Saccharomyces cerevisiae S288C: one gene and its partners. The gene in region 2 interacts genetically with the main gene of each other region. Each region holds a gene or a part of one and is shown on either strand. Other genes may lie near its edges.

Region 1 (5,777 bases), on a different chromosome or scaffold from region 2:
CTTACAATCTGGGGTAAATCATTAATATAAACCTTGGCGTAAAAGATGATCGACCCGTCTGTAGACTCTTTGAATAGTTCATAATTGAGTCTCGGAATAAGCGCAGAAGACTCAGACACACTGTCATGCCCTTCGCGTGGATTGCTGATTTTCTTTTCCAAGTCATCGCTCCTCTTATCATTCTTTTTGAGCTCCAAATCTTTATTTTGAGCTTCCTCTCTTTTACTTTTGATATTTTCCAGTCCTTTGCCGCCGAACCCTTTCGACAACCTAAACTTACCCTTTTTCATACCGGATTCAAACTTGGCACTCATTTCCTGAAGTTCTTTTGCTTGCAGAGGGTCTAAAGCTTTTATTTCTTCATCGCGCATTGCCTTGCTCAAGATATAAGCACCTGACAGTTCATCATGCAATAGAAGAGTAATAGCAGTACCGGAGCGACTACCTCTGGCAGTTCTTCCAGTAGTATGAACATATTGCGCGAAAGTTTTGACGGCGTTATAGATAATAACCAACGACACTTCGGGAACATTTAAACCTCTTGAGAGAACCTCTGTACAGAGAAGAATACTGTTCTTTTCTCGTTTGAACTTTTCTAAGTTCATAAGCCTTTCTTGATATGGCTTACCTGCATGAATAGCACAGGTCACAATTCCAGCATTTAACAGCTTTTTTGAAATGAAGTCGCAAATATTCTGACTTGATACAAATATAATGGCTTTAGCATCAACTTCTTCAACATCGCTTGACTGTCCGTCATTTTCACTTTGAACCTCGTCAAAAAATTCACTGCGCTCATGGATAAGCTGCACCAGATTGTCAAATTTTTCATCTTCTGAATGGCATATTCTAAACTTTTGTTTTACGTTTTCATTAACCATTCCCTTTGAATTAATCGTAATAGATATTGGGGAATGCAAAACTCTTACGGCAAAACTGCGTAGTTTGTTCGGAAAAGTTGCACTAAATAGAACACACTGTTTATCCGGTCGAACAGTTTTCATGATTTGCGTTATTTGAGGTTCAAAACCTAAATCGAACAGCCTGTCTGCCTCATCCATTACTACGAACGTTATTCTTTTAGTACTAAGTAATTTCCCATCATTTAGTGTTAATATATCAATAAATCGTCCCGGTGTGGCAACAACAATCTCAGTGCCTCTTTTAAGATCAGTAATCTGCTTTTTCATTTCAGAACCTCCTGTACAGCATACTGATCTAATGGATGTATCTGCTTCTGTGAATTTAGTAACTTCTTCATGTATTTGTAAAGCTAGCTCTCTAGTTGGAGCCAGAATTAAACCCATGGGCCCTGTTTCATGTTTTGATAATGGCCGTTGAGCTTTTACTTGTCTTAGCAATGGTAAAAGATAGGAGATGGTCTTGCCGGAGCCAGTTTTTGATATTCCTATAACATCACGACCTGACATAATAGCGGGAAGAGCCTGGGATTGAATAGGCGTTAAGGAGCCAAAGTGCAACTTTTCTGTAATTAAAACCATGGTGTCCGTTGATAGTCCCAGTTGAGACCACTTTGTGACTGGTTTGGGGCAACCTGTTCCCTTTATTTTGATATTATCCAGACTAAGTCTAAGCTCCTCAACTTCCATCTCTGACATCGAGGAAACTGTTTCAGATTCTATATAAAAATTTTTTTGGAACGGCTCAAGCTCTTCTGGAGAGTAATAAATTTGCTTTACACGTTTTTTTGCTTTGAGTTTAGCAATTTTCGCTATATTAGAATTATCCGTATTATCTTCAACATCCTCATCGTCGGTTCCTCCAAGTTCAAACAATTGATCCTCTACATCAAGAATGTCGCCTCTGTCGTACATGCCTTTACTATTACTCATTTTCTCCTCCTTCAATGACGTCATAAACTCATCCAGTGGATCTTTTTCATTATCATGCTCTGGAGCTTTTTGAATGTGCTCCTTCGATCTAAAAGAAACTCCTATTTCAGAATCATCGTCATCACTGAAGTCGAAGGATATTTTCTTCTTTACCTTACTTCTCTTCGACTTTTTCTTCGAAGGCTTAACCGATACAGGTTCGTCAGATTTCCTAAATTCATTTTTTCTCTTCCGAAGCTCTTCTTTTACACGTTCCTGTCTTTCCGTAAACTTTTCAGTAGTCTGCTTACCTTCTAAACTGTTAGTAACAATGTCATTGCGTGAAGTTTGATGCTCTTTCTGAGCATCAAATTGTGCTTTTTTTTGTTTCCATTTTGCTAGTTTTTTCCTCCTTTCCTCCAATAAAGACTCCCTATTAATATTTTGCTTCGAATCAATAGTTTCCATACCTCAAATAAACCCAAGGCAACAGCGTTATGATTTCCCTTCTCGAATTATTTGGCGCTGTATTATATTAGAAAGAACTCTAATACCTTTAGTTTGGTCCATTGCTCTAAATGACTTTAATTAGTTTCATCTAATCCGGGTAATGGTAAATCAAGATATTTCAACATAAATTAGAAGATTTCTTATTTTAATCCTTTACATGTGAGACACTTTTCCGATTAATGTGACAACTACTACAACGTGGAGTCGTCCATTATCCGTCTTAGAAAAGTAGAATGTCAACCAAACCAGAGAAGCCAATATGGATGTCACAAGAAGACTATGACCGTCAGTACGGCTCAATTACTGGTGATGAATCGTCCACAGTCTCAAAAAAAGACTCCAAAGTTACTGCCAATGCGCCTGGTGATGGTAATGGATCATTACCAGTTTTGCAAAGCAGCTCTATCCTTACTTCTAAGGTGTCTGATCTACCCATTGAGGCAGAATCCGGGTTTAAAATCCAAAAGAGAAGACATGAAAGGTATGATCAAGAGGAAAGATTACGCAAACAGCGTGCTCAAAAATTGAGAGAAGAGCAACTAAAGAGACATGAAATAGAGATGACTGCAAATAGATCCATAAATGTTGACCAGATTGTCCGAGAGCACTATAATGAACGTACAATAATCGCCAATCGCGCTAAGAGGAATCTATCGCCTATTATTAAGCTTCGTAATTTTAACAATGCGATTAAGTATATGTTAATTGACAAATATACAAAACCTGGAGATGTCGTTTTAGAACTCGGATGTGGCAAAGGTGGTGATTTAAGAAAATATGGTGCTGCAGGTATTTCACAGTTTATTGGTATTGACATTTCCAATGCCTCTATCCAAGAAGCTCATAAGAGATACCGGTCCATGAGAAATTTGGACTACCAAGTTGTGCTAATTACTGGGGATTGCTTTGGCGAATCATTAGGTGTTGCAGTAGAGCCCTTCCCAGACTGTAGATTTCCGTGTGATATCGTTTCGACGCAATTTTGCTTGCATTATGCTTTTGAGACCGAAGAAAAAGCAAGGAGAGCTTTACTGAATGTCGCCAAATCACTCAAAATTGGTGGTCACTTTTTTGGCACGATACCAGATTCAGAATTCATTCGTTATAAACTGAATAAATTTCCCAAAGAAGTGGAAAAGCCATCTTGGGGAAACTCCATTTATAAAGTGACATTTGAGAATAATTCATACCAAAAGAATGATTATGAGTTCACATCGCCTTATGGTCAAATGTATACTTATTGGCTAGAAGATGCTATAGATAATGTTCCTGAATATGTTGTGCCATTCGAAACCTTAAGAAGTTTGGCTGATGAATACGGTTTGGAACTAGTATCGCAAATGCCTTTTAATAAATTTTTTGTCCAAGAAATTCCCAAATGGATTGAGAGGTTTTCGCCTAAAATGAGGGAAGGTTTACAAAGATCTGATGGTAGATATGGTGTTGAAGGGGATGAAAAGGAAGCGGCATCATATTTCTATACCATGTTTGCATTCCGTAAGGTAAAACAGTATATCGAACCGGAAAGCGTAAAGCCCAACTGAAATAAAAATGAATAGAAACAATAACCCTACTATAAAGCATCTGTATTTCGGCCGTATTACAAGACTTCTATATGTAGTAAATAAGTTCTGGGGAAATGCATAACGATATATGTGTTATTCTATAATGCAGTAGTTACTGTCATGGTTTGCGAATTGATTAACATGCATGGAGGTAAGCCCTCCAACCAAATATCCAAGTCCTCGACATATTGTAAACTTGCATCGTGATCTTCATGTGTTCCAAGAGCTGGAACTGGCAAGGTTGAAAAAATTAAATCCGAACTCTTTGACATTTGTGTCATCACATCATTCAGAACCAAATGTTGAGCAGTGCTGGGAAGATCATTGAAACCTAAATTTTGCATCGCTGTGACTAAACTATCTTTTGAACAACAAGGTGATAATTCGGGAAGAACCGGTTTCTTTAATTTGTTGCCGTTGCCAATACCGCTCCCAGTACCGTTCCCATTCGAAAGGTCAGGTTCGGCAATTGGGATCAGTGTCGGCTGTTCACCCGTGCCATCTTCCACGACTCTCGTCCTCGGCAAAGTATTACTCGAGAAAACGGGTCTTAACGACTGTGTTGACACATCGCTTTGTAAATTCTTTACGAGTAAATTTGTTCTGTCGGAACCGGTCTTCGATTTGGTCGTTAAGTCCTTACCTACTGAAATATTAGTCGATGCCGAGAAGGCATCACGAATTGACGTAAGATCTGTATCCAAATCGGAGTCCTCACTCTCGCATGGGGTATCAATGCGGTTAGTTGGCATTCTCGTATTCATTGTAAATGAGACACCCAATTTCTGAACCCCAGACGTATATTTTCTTGATTGTGTAAATTGCTTTGCTATCGTTTGAGGTTCAATAGTGGAAAACCTCCGCTTCGGTTTTAATGTATCACGAGCTTCAACCAAATCTTTCCACCATTCATTATCGGCCAATTTCGAGTTGACATAATCAAACACGATTGGGTCTCCCTTGACAATTGTGTTGTATACTCTGAATTGATCTAAAGATACTACCAAAACCTCTGCGTCAATTCTTAGAACCTGTAATAGCTTTTTCATTCGTTGAGTTTCGTTCGTTCTATGATATTCTTGTTCCACAAATAAAATAACTCGAAGCGAATGTGTGCGCTTCCATTCAGGAACAGTAACCAAAATGGCAGCTAATTGTAGAATCAGTGTATACGTATCAAAGTTAGTAGTGATAGCCGCAGGCTGGTCACCCTTTGCCTCAACTTTTCCGCACATTTGGATGGGATAAAGATCTATAGTTTTTTTTGGAAAGCAGCTGTCCCTTTTGTTCGGTATCTCTAAATTTTTGAATCCATGCGCTATGGCAATATTGGATTGCATCAGTGATAGATCTTCTACAATTTGAACCCATTGTTGTACATTAACTTTGGTTTCATTTTTACACTCATCCGTAGGCAATGGAACATTGATTTTGACATCAGAGCATGTACTACGTGGCACTGTAGCTTTTATTTCCACCTGTTTCTGAAGGTTATTTTGGCTGCGACTTTGTGGGATGTGCTTTCTATAACTTTCGAGGTCAAAAAAACCGACAACAGTAATGTTTGGTTTCATACCTCCAAGCCCGGAACCAATAAAAACATTCCTAATTCCCCATATAAGGGAGGGACCAGTCCCAACTTGGACAAAAGCCTTTATTGCTGCCATGTCTCTGATCTTCATCCAAGCTTTCTGCTGAGTTTTTAATTCATTTAGTTGCTTCGGAAAATCCGCAGTTACTGCAACATGGCCTAAAATATACAAACCACCTTTTTTCAAATGATTGCAAAACCTTATTAAGTTCCAGCTCGTCCTTGGATTATCTACAAACAGCAATATTTGAGGCCTCCAGTATTTAATATTGTCTTGAC
Region 2 (6,317 bases):
CTAGCAACTGTGTATGAAAACTTACGTACTTTTATACGGGAAACTAATAATGACTACAATGATATTGAATACTGGCCGCTTCGAAGAGTGGTATAAAGTTTGTATCATTGCATTAAAAGAAAAAGAAATATATGTCCCATCATCGCCAATCGCAATGTTGAATGGTCGTTTACCACTTTTGCGGCTGGGCATATGCAGAAACATGCTGTCCCGTCCCCGACTGGCTAAACTGCCATCTATAAGGTTTCGGTCTTTGGTCACCCCTTCTTCATCGCAGCTCATTCCTCTCAGTCGGTTGTGTTTAAGGTCACCTGCAGTTGGAAAATCACTAATTTTACAAAGTTTTAGATGTAATTCATCCAAAACAGTTCCAGAAACTTCTCTGCCTTCAGCCTCTCCCATATCTAAAGGATCAGCAAGGTCGGCACATGCAAAGGAGCAATCTAAAACTGATGACTATAAAGATATAATAAGGTTATTTATGTTGGCGAAACGGGATTGGAAACTGCTTCTTACAGCCATACTTCTTTTAACCATATCATGTTCCATAGGCATGTCTATTCCTAAAGTCATAGGTATTGTCCTTGACACACTTAAGACGTCATCTGGATCAGATTTTTTTGATTTGAAGATACCGATTTTTTCTTTGCCTTTATATGAGTTTCTTTCCTTTTTTACTGTTGCTTTACTGATTGGTTGTGCTGCTAATTTTGGTAGATTTATATTATTGAGGATACTAAGTGAGCGTGTTGTTGCACGCCTAAGGGCAAATGTCATTAAAAAAACGCTTCATCAAGACGCAGAATTCTTCGACAACCATAAAGTTGGGGATTTAATTTCTCGTTTAGGATCTGATGCTTATGTTGTTTCAAGATCAATGACCCAGAAGGTCTCGGATGGGGTCAAAGCCCTAATTTGTGGGGTTGTTGGCGTGGGGATGATGTGTTCTTTGTCACCTCAACTATCAATATTGTTACTATTCTTCACTCCACCTGTTCTTTTTAGTGCCTCAGTGTTCGGGAAGCAAATTAGAAACACCTCTAAAGACCTTCAAGAAGCTACTGGTCAATTGACTAGAGTCGCTGAAGAACAACTCTCTGGTATCAAGACGGTTCAGTCGTTTGTTGCTGAAGGTAATGAATTGTCTAGGTATAACGTTGCAATTAGAGATATTTTTCAGGTGGGAAAAACTGCGGCATTTACAAACGCAAAGTTTTTTACTACAACTAGTCTCTTAGGTGACCTAAGTTTTTTAACCGTCCTTGCGTATGGCTCCTATCTTGTTTTACAATCACAGCTCTCCATTGGTGATCTGACTGCATTTATGCTGTACACAGAATATACGGGGAATGCGGTATTCGGCCTTTCTACCTTCTATTCGGAAATTATGCAGGGTGCTGGGGCCGCTTCCAGGTTGTTTGAATTAACAGATAGGAAACCTTCCATTTCACCGACTGTGGGACACAAGTATAAACCAGATCGTGGTGTTATCGAATTTAAAGATGTTTCATTTAGCTACCCTACAAGGCCTTCTGTTCAAATATTCAAGAATTTAAATTTTAAAATTGCGCCAGGATCGAGTGTTTGTATTGTGGGCCCTTCAGGTCGTGGTAAATCTACAATTGCACTCTTACTGCTAAGATATTATAATCCCACTACTGGGACTATTACGATAGATAACCAAGATATCTCTAAATTGAATTGTAAATCCCTAAGAAGGCATATTGGTATCGTTCAGCAAGAGCCGGTACTGATGTCAGGTACTATTAGGGATAATATCACTTATGGGTTGACATATACCCCAACAAAGGAAGAAATCAGGTCAGTAGCAAAGCAGTGCTTTTGCCATAACTTTATCACAAAATTTCCGAACACATACGATACGGTAATTGGTCCTCACGGCACCTTACTAAGTGGAGGACAAAAGCAGCGTATTGCGATTGCAAGGGCTCTAATCAAAAAGCCAACTATTTTGATTCTTGATGAAGCTACATCAGCTTTAGATGTTGAAAGTGAAGGAGCCATTAACTATACGTTTGGTCAACTAATGAAATCAAAATCGATGACTATTGTTAGCATCGCGCACAGGCTAAGTACGATCAGAAGATCAGAGAATGTTATTGTCCTTGGCCATGATGGATCAGTGGTAGAAATGGGCAAATTCAAAGAATTGTATGCGAATCCAACAAGTGCTTTATCGCAATTACTTAATGAGAAAGCGGCTCCTGGGCCATCTGACCAACAACTGCAAATAGAGAAGGTCATCGAAAAGGAAGATTTGAATGAGAGTAAGGAGCATGATGACCAGAAAAAGGACGATAATGACGATAATGATAATAATCATGATAACGACAGCAATAACCAGTCTCCAGAGACGAAAGACAATAATTCAGATGATATTGAAAAATCTGTCGAACATCTCCTGAAAGACGCGGCAAAGGAGGCTAATCCAATTAAGATCACACCACAACCGTGAGTCATCCGCATCGCATATACCCATTCTTATCTCGCACATTTAAATATATACTATATATAATACTGTTAAATGCCAAATAAAAAGGATTTTCATTACCCGAATCGATACTTTTGGTAGCATAAACAAATAACATTGAAACAATAACAAAGTGTAATGTGGCCGCACGAATCTTTGTCTGTAACAGCCTTAAAGATTTCAGTAGCACTGCCATGGATAATGATGGACCCAGATCTATGACCATTGGGGATGACTTCCAAGAGAACTTTTGTGAACGTTTAGAAAGAATTCACAATACATTACATTCAATAAACGATTGCAACTCATTGAATGAGAGTACCACAAGTATATCAGAGACATTGTTAGTTCAATTTTATGATGATTTGGAGAACGTTGCCTCGGTAATTCCCGACTTAGTCAACAAGAAAAGACTGGGAAAAGACGATATTTTGTTGTTTATGGACTGGTTATTATTGAAAAAATATATGCTATATCAATTTATTAGTGACGTTCATAATATTGAGGAAGGTTTTGCTCATTTGTTGGATTTACTAGAGGATGAATTCTCGAAGGACGATCAGGATAGCGACAAATACAATCGATTTAGCCCGATGTTTGACGTCATAGAAGAATCTACACAAATTAAGACTCAGTTGGAGCCATGGCTTACTAACTTGAAGGAATTATTGGATACGTCATTGGAATTTAACGAAATTTCAAAGGATCATATGGATACATTACATAAAATCATTAATAGCAATATATCGTATTGTCTGGAAATTCAGGAAGAAAGGTTCGCGTCCCCGATACGGCATACTCCATCATTTACCCTAGAACAACTAGTCAAGTTATTAGGAACGCATACGGAGACAACTGAGCCAAAGGTACCAAAATTTTCTCCGGCAGAAGATATTTTATCAAGAAAGTTCTTGAACCTAAAAAAAAATATCCCTCCAATTGAAAAAAGTTTGACTGATATCCTACCTCAAAGAATTGTGCAATTTGGGCACCGGAATATAACAAACATAACTACTTTGCAAACAATCTTGCAAAAAAAATACGAGCTGATAATGAAAGATTATAGATTTATGAATTCAGAGTTTAGGGAATTGAAAGTCGAACTAATCGACAAACGTTGGAATATACTCTTTATTAATTTAAATCATGAACTATTATACATTCTTGATGAGATAGAAAGGTTGCAGTCGAAATTACTGACAACAAAGTATACCAAAGATATCACTATAAGGCTCGAGAGGCAATTGGAGAGAAAATCAAAAACTGTTTCTAAGACATTCAATATTATTTACAGAGCATTGGAATTCTCACTTTTGGACGCTGGCGTCGCATCGAAGACAAATGAATTAGCTCAAAGATGGCTGAATATCAAGCCTACAGCGGATAAAATTCTAATCAAATCCTCCGCTTCAAACAAAATAGCTACTAGCAAGAAGAAGATTCCAAAACCGAAATCATTAGGCTTTGGGCGACCGAATAGTGTTATTGGAACTATAACCCAGGATTTCCAGGAGAGAGTCGCCATTAATGAAGGTGACAGTAATAAAACACCGGAAAATTCAACTACAGTGGCTTTGAAAGGTAAAAAGCTTGGTAAAGCGTTACTGCAGAAGATGAATATTAAACCTGCAACAAGCCCAAATTCATCAAATGCGATTAATCCATTTTTTGATCCGGAGTCGCCAAACAAAGGAAAACTGATACTAAGTAGTGTTCCTCCCTTACCTTATGACGAAACCGATGAAACCACCCTCCGTGTTTCTCGTGGGGAAAATGAAAAGTCACCAGACTCCTTCATTACATCTCGGCATGAAAATAAAGTACAGATTACAGAAACTCCTTTGATGGCAAAGAATAAGTCTGTGCTTGACATCGAAAAAGATAAATGGAATCATTACCGGTCCTTGCCCTCTAGGATCCCTATATACAAGGATAAAGTGGTGAAAGTCACCGTAGAAAACACACCGATAGCAAAGGTTTTCCAGACTCCGCCAACAAAAATCACGACACCTAATAGTCAAGTTTGGGTCCCTTCGACAAGAAGAAGAACCCGATTGAGGCCTCCCACCCCCTTATCACAGTTACTTTCACCAAGAGAAGGGCGTTTAGATAAAACCCCAACTTATTGATACTAACCTAAAACTGTATACTTATACATTTTTATATATCCTCCCTCTCACCCTCTCCATTCATAGAATTTGTAATACTAGTTTAAATAATGTAATATTATGTGTAATTTTAAATAGTCCATGAAGATTCCGCACGTTTTCATTTTACAGTTTTTGACACCTTTACCCGACGCTTTATAAAAAAAATAGTATAAGCATCACGACATAAGCAGCCTCAGGTCATTAAAACAATAAAAGACTGGGAATTATAAACGTACAACGGTAAGGTCATTCACGCAGTGTATATGAATGACTGAAAGTGCTATAGATGACCAAAGGTTTAATCTTACAAAGGAGTTACAACGACACTCATGCAGAGATCAAGGGAAAATAACACAAAAGGATGATGCTTTAGATTTTATAAGTTACAGTTCTTTTCAATCCTCTTTTAATACTGACCAAAAAAGCGCGAACAATGGAAGTACTGTGAGAAGAAGCATAAGGTCGATTTTTAGAAGAGCAGCCGAATTGCCTAGAGTCCATATGGGGCCTCTTACTTATTCACATGGGATAAATGAGCTTGTTAACAAGAAATTAAGAAAAGACTGTGATCTCAGCACGCTATGTCGCGTATTGCAAAGAGGAATCAGGATGATTAGGATGACAAGAAGAAGAAGGAAGTTCTATGAATTTAAATTAATCAATAACAACGGGCAAATAATATGGAAAGATGGTTCGAAGTATCTGGAATTAGACTCCGTTAAAGACATCAGAATCGGTGATACGGCGAGTACTTATCAAGAGGAAGTAGATCCGAAAAGATTGAGATCGGACAGTAAACTTTGGATTGCTATTATTTATAAGGTTTCCAACAAATTGAAAGCGTTACACGTAGTTGCTTTGAATGAATTGGACTTTAACACATTCTTAAGCTGCATTTGCGGTTTAGTGAAGTTAAGGAGGGAATTAATGGAAAGCATACTTTTGCCTGATAATTCGCAATTCGCTAGGATACATTGGCAAATTACTGTTTCTGAAAAAGAGGAAGATGAGAAAAAGGACACATTGAGCTTTGCAGATGTGAAGAAACTATGTGATAAATTTCATATTTATGTGTCAACTGGTCAATTGTTAGAGTTTTTCCAATTAGCAGACATCAATCATAACGGACTATTAAATTATTTTGAATTTGAAAAGTTCATTAAAATCTTAAAGAATAGGAAAGAGGTAAATATGATTTGGTCTAAATTTACAAAACCTCCACACTCCCACTTATCATTTGAAAATTTTTTTCAATTTTTAATTACAGAGCAGCATGAGCAAGTGGATCGTCAAACTGCATGGTCATATTTTATTAAGTACAGAGAACCGACTCAGCTGACGATGGGGCAAGATGGTTTTACCAAGTTCTTGAAGGAGCAACCATATTTGGTGGAGGTTAAAGAGGAGTTATATTCAAAGCCATTAAACCATTATTTTATTGCATCTTCACATAATACTTATTTATTGGGGAAACAAATTGCAGAAACTCCATCTGTGGAGGGATATATTCAAGTCCTACAACAAGGTTGTAGGTGCGTAGAAATTGATATATGGGATGGTGAAAATGGGCCAGTGGTATGCCATGGATTTTTAACGTCAGCTATTCCCTTAAAAACAGTTATACGCGTGATAAAGAAGTACGCTTTTATAACGTCTCCGTATCCTTTGATTATTTC
Region 3 (4,870 bases), on a different chromosome or scaffold from region 2:
TATTTTTGGGGGGTGGCAAATGCTCATGTTATTTTCCCATTTTTGAACATATTTCTGGCCAACATTTAGATCTGCAGTTTCTAATATGAATTCAGTGGAAAATATATTACAAAGCTTAGCACCATAACCGTTTCTACCACCAGTGACTTTCTTCTCATCATCATCATAATTGGATGATGTCAACAAATGACCAAATATCATTTCAGGAATATAAATATTCTCCTTGTTATGAATCTCTATGGGAATACCTTTTCCATCATTTTTCACTTCTATAGTATGTTCCTCAGCATGTATGTTTACATCGATTCGTTTCATCGATGGATCACGAACTTTATTATCTGCCGCATTGACTAAGATTTCATCAAAGATTTTGAACAACCCTGGTACAATTGTGACATTTTTTTCAATCATGCAATCGGTCTCTTCATCGTATATCCATTGCAGCTGCTCTTGAGTTTCAACAGAACCGATATAAGTGTCTGGTCTTTTTAAGATATGTTCCAGTTGAGAAATTTTCTGATATTTATCAGAGGCGCTTACCGGTTCAGTTGACATGGTTAGCCGTGCTGGTCGTTATAAACTCCTTTAACTGAAACAGAAAGTTAAAATTGTCGTGGTTTGCTCTACGACGTGGTTGGATTATATGAAAGATGATCTCCTCTTTTCTTTTCTTTTTGTCTCCTTCGGCAATTCAATAATATGTTTACATTATACTGAAAAAAAAAAGACGCGTCCTACTGGCGCGTCTTTCACTCATCGCCTCGTAAGGAATTCGAATACAAATAGCGTAAATAAGTAAATAAGTATATAAACGAAAAATAATCAAACTAGGCAGTTCCGTTTAGCTCATCGGCGCAGTACCTTGAGCTATGGTTTGATGTGCCATTTTCTTATATCCGTCGGAAATTTTGCTTCTGGTAAAGGCTCTCGAATAAGAATCTGTAGGACATTAACGAACAAACATATCGAATGGGTTTGTGTTTTATACATGCACTATCGATAAGCCTTTTTAACTTATTCCATTATATCTATGAAATTTGATTAAAATTATAATACGGTATTGTTTTTCCCTCCCTTGCTAAAAAGATAATGTATCATTTCAGTGTAAGTTTTTTTTATAAAATTATGCAACAGTTAGCCCCTGGTTCCTTCTTCATAAGCAAACTGGTTCTTGTAGCTACTTCAAAGACATCATCCACACCCTCACCAGTCAGTGCACTACATTCCATGTATTTCTTGGCCCCAATGGCCCTTGCAACTTGTTTTGCATCTTCAATGGGAACCATTTCATCGGTAGCATTCTCTTTAAAATGGGCTTCTTGCCTCAAATCTTTTTTCAAGCCTACAAGAACGATTGGTGCGTCAGGACAATATCGTAATGCCTCATCCGCCCATTTCGTCCTTGCGTTAATTAGTGATTCAAAATTGTCTACAGCAAACCCAATTAATATTATATCTGCTTTTGAATATGAGAATGGACGTAAACGTTCATATTCCTCTTGTCCCGCTGTATCCCAGAGCGTTAAGGACACTTTTATTCCGTCAACTCTGCAATCAGTGACATAATTCTCGAACACTGTCGGATGATATTGTTCAGGGAATTTTCCTAATGTAAATACATATAGTAAAGAGGTCTTGCCACAAGCACCATCACCAATAATAACAAGTTTCCTTCTAACGGCCTTTTCAGACATAGTACGGGATCAAAAGCACAACCAAAGCAGAACGTTTCAGCAATTGATGTCTGCACACAAATCGTTTACAGCGGTATGCAAGGGCAGTTTAATTAAGACTTAATCTGGGGACTTTTGGTTCAAATTATCAGAATAACTACCTTTGGAGAGTTGCGCTTTGAATAATTGTTGTTGAACAATTGATATATGTTATACCTAAAAAAGAGTGTACCGAAGTCTATTATCATATTCACATTCCTGCGAAAAATGGAAATTAAATGCCGGGTAAGATGTATGGGGTGTCGCAGCCTCACCTCTAAAGCCACGACGGTAAGAAAAACCGACGCGTGGCTCACATCGAGTAGAGAGATGTACGATTGTTTAGTGTCTCTTCTGAAATTTCGTCGAATTATGTATGTATGTAAATATTTTTGGCCCTGCGTACCGGAGCAAATTTAAGACGTTTGCGTAGTTGAAGAGGCAATTGGAAAACTAGCCCTTGTGGAGGTATGAGGCCTTGACGTAAATGGTGTAGCAGTTGGATCGTTCAATCCACTAAAGAGTTGATTCAGCAACCCCTTTGAGTGGCCAGCGGGAGTTTGTCTCGCAAATCGAACGTGGGTAATGGATCCATTGTTATCAGTAAAGAATTCGCAATTGTAGGCTCCTTGCATGCTTATCAATTTGTTGATAAACGTCGAGTAATCCAAGTTAAGTCCTACTAAATTTTGGAATAGTGTCCCGATAGCAATGTAGGGGTTTAAACTATCTTGTGGGGAAATAGCTAAATAAGTATTGTAGATGCTATCCAGAATGTGGCTTTCATCCACTCCACTCGAAATTTGAGGGGATTGAAGGACGTTGCTAGTCAAATATGGTGAATTGTATTGACTGTTACTAGACCAGATATTTGATGCCATGAACGCAGGGCTATCTTGCGCAGTACTAGTTATATTGCGACCGGAAAGCTCGGATTTATTCATCATCGGAGTGGTGCTGCTGTCCCAGATAGAAGTTCGATTTGGAAACGATTCAACGCTTCCTAATGTAGGTGCGAGCAGCATACCGCTTTGTATACTGCTGTTGTTAAAGTTTCCTGCAGTCGACGGTCCCGAAAATGAGCTTTTTTGATCATTCCACACAGAACGCTGTGATGGGGGGAATCCTGATGATGAAAGTGATGTATCTGCGAACCCGGAAGAAGAAAGCATGCTAGTTAAAGTGTTCAACTCGTCGGTAAACGATTTACGGTGAGTACCACCATTAGGTAGTCCAAAAGATGGCATTGTAGCTTGAGGACTAGATTTATGGGCTTGTGATTCCATTTCTGAAGTTTGAATAACCGGTGGTTTACATGTAGGATTTATGGACATTGTATTTGTCAGACCACCCCAAGATGATAAACCAAAGTCATTTGGCAATAGCTTAGTTGGCGATGAATTATTATGCATCAATAGACTTGTATTTTCCAGAGTTTGTGAGTTCATTAAATAGTTGTTTTCAGTCTGTAAAGAAGATTTTGTAGCCAAGTCTAACGCATTCGGAATAGTTGTAGTTCCAAAATGGTTGTTTTGATTACCTGGCTGTGGCAAGTGTGATTGTTCCATAGCAGGCATCTGGTTGTTAGTTGAAGGAAGAAGTAGATCATGAACGTTAAAGCCTGTGGGTGAAACTGGTTTGGATGCAGCCACGCTATTAACCATTTTAAGTATTTCATCGTTGATACTGCAACTATTATCCTCTTGGTAGTTAGTCATGTTGGGATGTGATTGAGATGAAACAGGGTTGCCAACTCCATTCTCAGTAAAAGGTTTGGCGGAAAGTATGTTCGCAGATGTTTGTTCTTCGTTTAATTTCTGTTTTCTTAGCGCATCCTCTGCAATTAATCTTTGTCTCTCTTCTTCTTCTTTTTCTTTCTGTAGCTTTTCTTGTTCTAGCCTTTTCTGTTCTCTAATACGTTTCTTTTCTTCTTCCCTCTTGCGTTTTAGTTCCTCTTTCTGTTTCCGTTGTTTTTCTTGCATTTCTTCTCTCCGCTGCTGCTCTTCCAATCTACGCTTTCTCTCCTCGTCTTTCTTCCGTTTGGCTTCTTCAACCTTTTTCCTTTGAGCCTCTCGTCTTCTCATTTCACGCTCTTCTAATTCCTTCTTTAGCCTTTCTTTCTCTTCTTCCCTTTTTCGTTTTTCTTCCTCTTTAGCTAACTGTTGCAGCCTCTTCTTTTCTTTCTCTTTTTCTCTTTTTTTCTGCTTTTTTTCTTCCTTCTCTCTTTTCTTTCTTTTTTCTTCTTCTAGTTCTTGTAGAAGTTTTAGTCTGTTATTATCTGCCTGTTTCTCATGATAAGAAGCCATTATTCGACTTTGAAGCAACTTTGTAATGGCTATCTGAATCAATTTCCGACCTTCTTCTAAACGGTCAGTTTCATCAAGACCGCTGTCATAAGTATCTTCTTCGTCATCGCCTTCATTTTCATCCTCTTCCTCTGGCTCATCTTCATCCCCATCTAATATATCATCATCGCGGTGAAAGTGCTTATGAGGATCATGCGGTAATTCTATATCGGAAATATACTCTTCTTCACTCAGTTCATCTTCGCTGTGGGTACTGGTACTATGGTAGTGATGGTGAGGGTGGTTCTGTCGTTTATGATCGTGGTCATAACTTAAATGTAATGTTTCACGTATCCCGTTGCTTTTTTCATCATGCTCTGGTTTTTCGACTGCCTCTATTCCTTCATACTCAGAAACCTCTTCGCTATCTTCAGCATATTCTGAATAGTCATCATAGTCTTCCTCATCTTCATCTTCATATATAGAATCAGTATCTAACGAAGTATCCTTCGATTGAGATGAAAAGCACGAGCTTAAAGTGGCTGCTAGAACGGATGGACCTAATTCCCCATCAAATTTATTTTTAAAGGATTGAATTATCAACTCTCTGAAAGATTTTTTGTCTCTCCCCGACATGAATCGTGTAAATAGCTCCTTCTCTAATTGTGACACATCTTTGAATTTCTTACTTGCGGTATCGTACGCATTAGTCATCCTTTCAGCAATGTTGCGCTGGAGGTCGGCATACTCATCTTCTGTAAGTGGTTTTCCACTATGCAGCATTGTGGTAAACTCCTTTGGATCAGTCAAATCTGTACTAGATGCTTCATCTTCAGTGATGCTGTCGTCTTTTTTCGATGCTTGTATCTGGCC
Region 4 (6,471 bases), on a different chromosome or scaffold from region 2:
GGGAGAGGTTCATTTGGGTCTGTACGAAAAGTCATCCATATACCTACCAAGAAACTTTTGGTTAGAAAGGATATCAAATATGGCCATATGAATAGCAAAGAGAGACAACAGCTGATCGCTGAATGTAGCATTCTATCGCAGTTGAAGCATGAAAATATTGTAGAATTTTATAACTGGGACTTCGATGAACAAAAAGAAGTGTTATACCTTTATATGGAATATTGTTCCAGGGGTGATTTATCCCAGATGATTAAGCACTACAAACAGGAGCATAAATATATACCAGAAAAAATTGTGTGGGGTATCCTGGCCCAATTATTGACTGCGCTCTATAAATGTCATTATGGTGTTGAATTGCCAACTTTGACCACAATATATGACCGGATGAAACCACCGGTAAAAGGCAAAAACATCGTTATCCATCGTGATCTGAAACCAGGAAATATATTCTTAAGCTATGATGATAGCGATTACAATATTAATGAACAAGTAGACGGTCACGAGGAAGTGAATAGTAATTATTACAGAGACCATAGAGTGAATTCAGGGAAAAGGGGGAGCCCTATGGACTATAGTCAAGTTGTGGTAAAGTTAGGTGATTTTGGGTTAGCCAAATCTCTGGAAACTAGTATTCAATTTGCCACAACATACGTCGGTACACCATATTACATGTCGCCTGAAGTGTTGATGGACCAACCATACTCCCCACTATCCGACATCTGGTCACTAGGTTGTGTTATTTTTGAGATGTGTTCGTTGCACCCCCCATTTCAGGCAAAAAATTATCTCGAGCTACAAACTAAGATTAAAAACGGGAAATGTGACACCGTCCCTGAGTATTACTCTAGAGGGCTTAATGCCATAATACATTCAATGATAGATGTGAACTTAAGAACCAGGCCTTCCACTTTTGAATTACTGCAAGATATTCAGATACGAACTGCAAGAAAGTCGTTGCAATTAGAGAGATTTGAAAGGAAGTTACTGGACTATGAAAATGAGCTGACAAACATTGAAAAAATCCTCGAGAAGCAAGCTATTGAATACGAAAGAGAACTGAGTCAGTTGAAGGAACAATTTACCCAGGCAGTGGAGGAGCGAGCCAGGGAAGTAATTAGCGGTAAGAAAGTTGGTAAGGTTCCAGAATCTATAAACGGATATTATGGTAAAAAATTTGCCAAACCTGCATACCACTGGCAAACAAGATATCGATAAAATTTGCTCTGAGAACATTTATACATTAATACATACGGGTATGTATGAATCATATTCAGTGAGGAGTTACACTGGCGACTTGTAGTATATGTAAATCACGTTAGTGAGACCATTTAGACCCTGTCAATGTTTCATAAGCCTCTATATATTTGGCCCTTGTCCTGTCGACAATGTCTTGGGGCATTTTGACGCCGTTAACACCGTTCAACTTATTAGCAGTAAGCCAGTCTCTTAAAAATTGCTTATCGTAAGAATCTTGGGATTCTCCTACCTTATAAGAGGCACCGTTCCAGAATCTAGAGGAGTCTGGCGTTAGCACCTCGTCCACTAGAATAATTTCATTGGTCTTTTCGTCAATACCGAATTCGAATTTAGTGTCTGCGATGATGATGCCCTTCTCCTTAGCATAATCTTTGCACTTGGAGTACAGTTTTACAGCCAGTTCTGCCACTCTACGTGACAAATCTTCACCCACCAGCTCAGCGGCCTGGGCAGGAGAGATGTTTTCGTCATGTTCACCTTGTTCAGCCTTGGTCGATGGGGTGAAGATTGGTTCTGGGAACTCTTGAGATTCTTTAAGTCCTTGAGGTTGTTTCAAACCATGCACAGTACCTGTTTTTACGTACTCTTTCCAAGCAGATCCGGTGATGTAGCCTCTGACAATTACTTCCAATGGAATTAGTTTATGTTTGTGAACCAATAGAGAGCGGTCTTCTAGTTGCGTTTTGTACTTTGGTTCGCTCAATTTTGCAGGTAGATAATCGAAAATAGTCTTACCTGGGGCGATGTCGACCAAATGATTACGAACATCGTTGGACAGGAACTTGAACCAGAACTCTGACAGTTTGGTCAATAGGATCCCCTTTTCAGGAATGCTGTTTTCCATAATAACGTCATATGCAGAGATACGATCCGTAGCAACAAACAGCAACGTACCAGCGTCTACCTCATATATGTCTCTAACTTTACCTCTGGCCACCAATGGCAATATACCGTCCAGTTCAGTCTTCGTAATTGACATTATCGTTAATATTTCGTATGTGTATTCTTTGTAAGCAATGCTTATGATTCGATTGTTCTTAATAGTACCAACTGCAAAAGATAAAACCCAACCGTCTTACCTCAAAGAATCTGGGTAAGAATATATAGAATGTATATATATATATATGTATGTCTATATGTATTAGATGGCATCTTCGAGATTAGTATTATTACATCCTCATCTCTCGCAAGAGTCAGACTGACTCGTGAATAAGCTTCGGGTGACCCTTATGGCATTCTTTTTCAACCTTCAGGAAAAGTTTCAGATGAGTTGAAATTTCGAGTATGGCTACATGGATCAAGTGCTGTAAACAAAGAAGCTTCTACAGGGGTACGCTGGTTGTGTTTTCTGCTTTGCTATCGTGTAGAACTGGATCCATTCTTTCCTGGCTGTGGTAGTACTTAAGGAGTTGGACGTGTTCAAGTCGAGAAAGAGGTGAAATACACGTAGTTTTTAGATAACATTCTCTGCTTGGTAAGAGAATGAGTAATAAGGAAGAGCATGTTGATGAGACTTCCGCAAGTGGTGTCAAGGAGGTTAGTTCTATAGCTGCTAGACATGACAATGGTTACGCGCCTTCGCTAATCACGTCGACGTCGGGCATGGACTCCTTTCAATCGCACGCGCTACTGAATGATCCAACCCTAATAGAGGATTATTCAGATATCATTAATAATAGGCCTACAAGTGGAAGTAAACTTACTTTAGGAAACGAGGATTCGGAGAGTATGGGCGGAAGTGTTGTGGTGACTCCGACTTCGAATAAGAGTTCGCCCTTCAATTCGAAACTTAATATACTGAGTAATGCGGCAGAAAAGGGCCATGATGTTCTGCGAAATAGAGATGATGACAAAGAGTTAGAGGAGGAGAACGTGGAAAAACATATGCATAGCAACAGTAAAAGGGATCAGCGACATTACAAAGAAAATTCTTCGGAATTGCCCGACTCATATGATTATTCGGATTCTGAATTTGAGGACAATTTGGAAAGAAGGCTACAAGAGATCGAAACTGATTCCGTGGATAGCGCCGATAAGGATGAGGTGCATTTTTCAGTGAATAATACAATGAACCCTGACGTTGACGATTTTAGTGATGGCTTGAAATACGCCATCTCGGAGGACGAGGATGAAGAGGAAAACTACTCTGATGACGATGACTTTGACAGAAAATTTCAAGATTCAGGGTTTCAAGGGGAGAAAGACGATTTGGAGGAGGAAAACGACGATTACCAACCCTTATCGCCGCCAAGAGAACTGGACCCTGATAAACTATATGCTTTATATGCGTTCAATGGCCATGATTCTTCACATTGTCAATTAGGGCAAGACGAACCTTGTATACTTTTGAATGACCAGGATGCCTATTGGTGGCTGGTTAAGAGGATCACTGATGGTAAAATCGGGTTTGCGCCAGCGGAAATTCTAGAAACCTTTCCAGAAAGACTAGCTCGATTGAATTGCTGGAAAAATGAAAACATGTCTTCTCAATCGGTTGCTTCCTCCGATTCGAAAGATGATTCCATCAGCTCTGGTAACAAGAATCAAAGTGATGCAGAGAGTATAATTCCGACACCTGCACTGAATGGATATGGTAAGGGGAACAAATCTGTTAGTTTCAATGATGTTGTCGGTTATGCAGACAGGTTTATAGATGATGCAATTGAAGATACCTCGTTAGATAGTAACGATGATGGCGGTGAAGGCAATGGACAGTCGTACGACGATGATGTTGATAACGACAAGGAAACAAAAGTAACGCACCGGGACGAATACACTGAAGCGAAGTTAAATTTTGGCAAATTCCAGGATGATGATACGAGCGATGTAGTGAGCGACGTCTCCTTTAGTACATCTTTGAATACACCACTAAATGTGAAAAAAGTTCGGAGACAAGACAACAAAAACGAAAGTGAGCCTAAGACATCATCGAGTAAAGACAGAGAAGATGATTATAATGCAAATCGGTATGTGGGGCAAGAAAAGTCTGAACCGGTTGACAGTGATTACGATACCGATCTGAAAAAAGTATTTGAAGCGCCTCGTATGCCATTTGCGAATGGTATGGCAAAATCAGACTCTCAAAATTCCCTTTCAACAATTGGCGAGTTTTCACCGTCGTCGTCAGAATGGACAAACGAATCACCATCCACTCCAATAGTTGAAGAAAGCAGCAGTATTCCATCATCTAGAGCAATAAAGGACATTTCACAATATATTCATGCAAAATCGAAAATTGAAGAGACAACAAACGTGGAAAACACAGAGGGGCAAATTCAAGCCAGCTTGGGGTCTAGTGGAGGAATGGCAAATCAAACTGACGCAGAACAACCTAAAGAGGAGCTAGAAAAACATCACAGTACCCCCGAAGAAGAAAAGCAATCAACCTTATCGTTACACTCATCATCTGAAGAAGATTTTTATATGGATGAACAAAGGGCGGTATCATCAGCAAGCATAAATAGTTCACTTTCCGGATCAAGGGCATTGTCTAATACCAATATGTCCGATCCGGCTTCGAAGCCCAATTCTTTGGTTCAACATCTCTATGCTCCAGTTTTTGACAGAATGGATGTGTTGATGAAACAATTGGATGAAATTATTCGTAAATGATATTGTCCTTACAATAAAGCCTGGTCTTTTTCTCATCCAACGAACTTGCATCATATTCATGAATATTTATTTGTTTTAGAAACATTTCGGAAAAAATAAGGTAGTAACAGTTCAGCATATATGATAGCTAAAACAAACAACTATATATCGTATCTACAAAGTTTATCTTACTTCTTCTATTTTTTAACTTTGCTTCAGATTATGATAATGAAAAGGAGGAATAAAATTCTGTCATTATTCAGCATCCTCCAATGTGTCATAGGGATATAACTGGGGTTGAGGAGGTAGTAGTCGACAACTACTTAGTCGTGATACAACAGTATGGATAGGTACTTTCCACGAACATTACTGATGACAGTCAGCTATTCACGAATTCAATTGTGTTGGATTAACAAAAAAATTTGGACGCAACCGGAATCGAACCGATGACCTCTTCCTTGCAAGGGAAGCGCGCTACCAACTGCGCCATGTGCCCAACTCATTACAATACTAGACTTATGAAGGAATGGTAAGTGCTTAGAAGCTTTATGATGTAGTAGAGATTTAAGGCCATCAATTACATTGTTGAAAATAAGAACCTGTTGGAATAGAAATCAACTATCATCTACTAACTAGTATTTACATTACTAGTATATTATCATATACGGTGTTAGAAGATGACGCAAATGATGAGAAATAGTCATCTAAATTAGTGGAAGCTGAAACGCAAGGATTGATAATGTAATAGGATCAATGAATATAAACATATAAAACGGAATGAGGAATAATCGTAATATTAGTATGTAGAAATATAGATTCCATTTTGAGGATTCCTATATCCTCGAGGAGAACTTCTAGTATATTCTGTATACCTAATATTATAGCCTTTATCAACAATGGAATCCCAACAATTATCTCAACATTCACCCATTTCTCATGGTAGCGCCTGTGCTTCGGTTACTTCTAAGGAAGTCCACACAAATCAAGATCCGTTAGACGTTTCAGCTTCCAAAACAGAAGAATGTGAGAAGGCTTCCACTAAGGCTAACTCTCAACAGACAACAACACCTGCTTCATCAGCTGTTCCAGAGAACCCCCATCATGCCTCTCCTCAAACTGCTCAGTCACATTCACCACAGAATGGGCCGTACCCACAGCAGTGCATGATGACCCAAAACCAAGCCAATCCATCTGGTTGGTCATTTTACGGACACCCATCTATGATTCCGTATACACCTTATCAAATGTCGCCTATGTACTTTCCACCTGGGCCACAATCACAGTTTCCGCAGTATCCATCATCAGTTGGAACGCCTCTGAGCACTCCATCACCTGAGTCAGGTAATACATTTACTGATTCATCCTCAGCGGACTCTGATATGACATCCACTAAAAAATATGTCAGACCACCACCAATGTTAACCTCACCTAATGACTTTCCAAATTGGGTTAAAACATACATCAAATTTTTACAAAACTCGAATCTCGGTGGTATTATTCCGACAGTAAACGGAAAACCCGTACGTCAGATCACTGATGATGAACTCACCTTCTTGTATAACACTTTTCAAATATTTGCTCCCTCTCAATTCCTACCTACCTGGGTCAAAGACATCCTATCCG

Evidence for each region.
Region 1: mutations in KAR9 (region 2) and ABD1 together harm fitness more than expected from each alone (negative genetic interaction), as found in Saccharomyces cerevisiae (2 studies listed by BioGRID).
Region 3: mutations in KAR9 (region 2) and RHO2 together harm fitness more than expected from each alone (negative genetic interaction), as found in Saccharomyces cerevisiae (3 studies listed by BioGRID, with this or other methods).
Region 4: mutations in KAR9 (region 2) and BUD14 together harm fitness more than expected from each alone (negative genetic interaction), as found in Saccharomyces cerevisiae (2 studies listed by BioGRID).

What each region holds. Positions count from the first base shown.
Region 1 is NC_001134.8:688,492-694,268, reverse strand, and holds ABD1 (mRNA (guanine-N7)-methyltransferase), read left to right. Parts: upstream 1-2,575; coding exon 2,576-3,886; downstream 3,887-5,777. Other genes in the region: DEAD-box RNA helicase PRP5, read right to left, coding at 1-2,300; VHC1 (Vhc1p), read right to left, coding at 4,006-5,777. UniProt on the Saccharomyces cerevisiae protein: Responsible for methylating the 5'-cap structure of mRNAs.
Region 2 is NC_001148.4:30,328-36,644, forward strand, and holds KAR9 (Kar9p), read left to right. Parts: upstream 1-2,685; coding exon 2,686-4,620; downstream 4,621-6,317. Other genes in the region: ATP-binding cassette permease MDL2, read left to right, coding at 155-2,476; PLC1 (phosphatidylinositol phospholipase C), read left to right, coding at 4,909-6,317. UniProt on the Saccharomyces cerevisiae protein: Involved in karyogamy. Component of a cortical adaptor complex that orients cytoplasmic microtubules. It may be involved in anchoring cytoplasmic microtubules to the cell cortex.
Region 3 is NC_001146.8:453,389-458,258, reverse strand, and holds RHO2 (Rho family GTPase RHO2), read right to left. Parts: upstream 1,695-4,870; coding exon 1,116-1,694; downstream 1-1,115. Other genes in the region: TOP2 (DNA topoisomerase 2), read right to left, coding at 1-555; NST1 (Nst1p), read right to left, coding at 2,129-4,870.
Region 4 is NC_001133.9:165,140-171,610, reverse strand, and holds BUD14 (protein phosphatase regulator BUD14), read left to right. Parts: upstream 1-2,739; coding exon 2,740-4,869; downstream 4,870-6,471. Other genes in the region: serine/threonine protein kinase KIN3, read left to right, coding at 1-1,215; ADE1 (phosphoribosylaminoimidazolesuccinocarboxamide synthase), read right to left, coding at 1,316-2,236; YAR010C (gag protein), read left to right, coding at 5,745-6,471. UniProt on the Saccharomyces cerevisiae protein: Important for bud site selection. Seems to be a regulatory subunit of the BUD14-GLC7 type-I phosphatase complex. The BUD14-GLC7 complex is necessary to regulate microtubule dynamics at the cortex and may function as a specific activator of the dynein complex.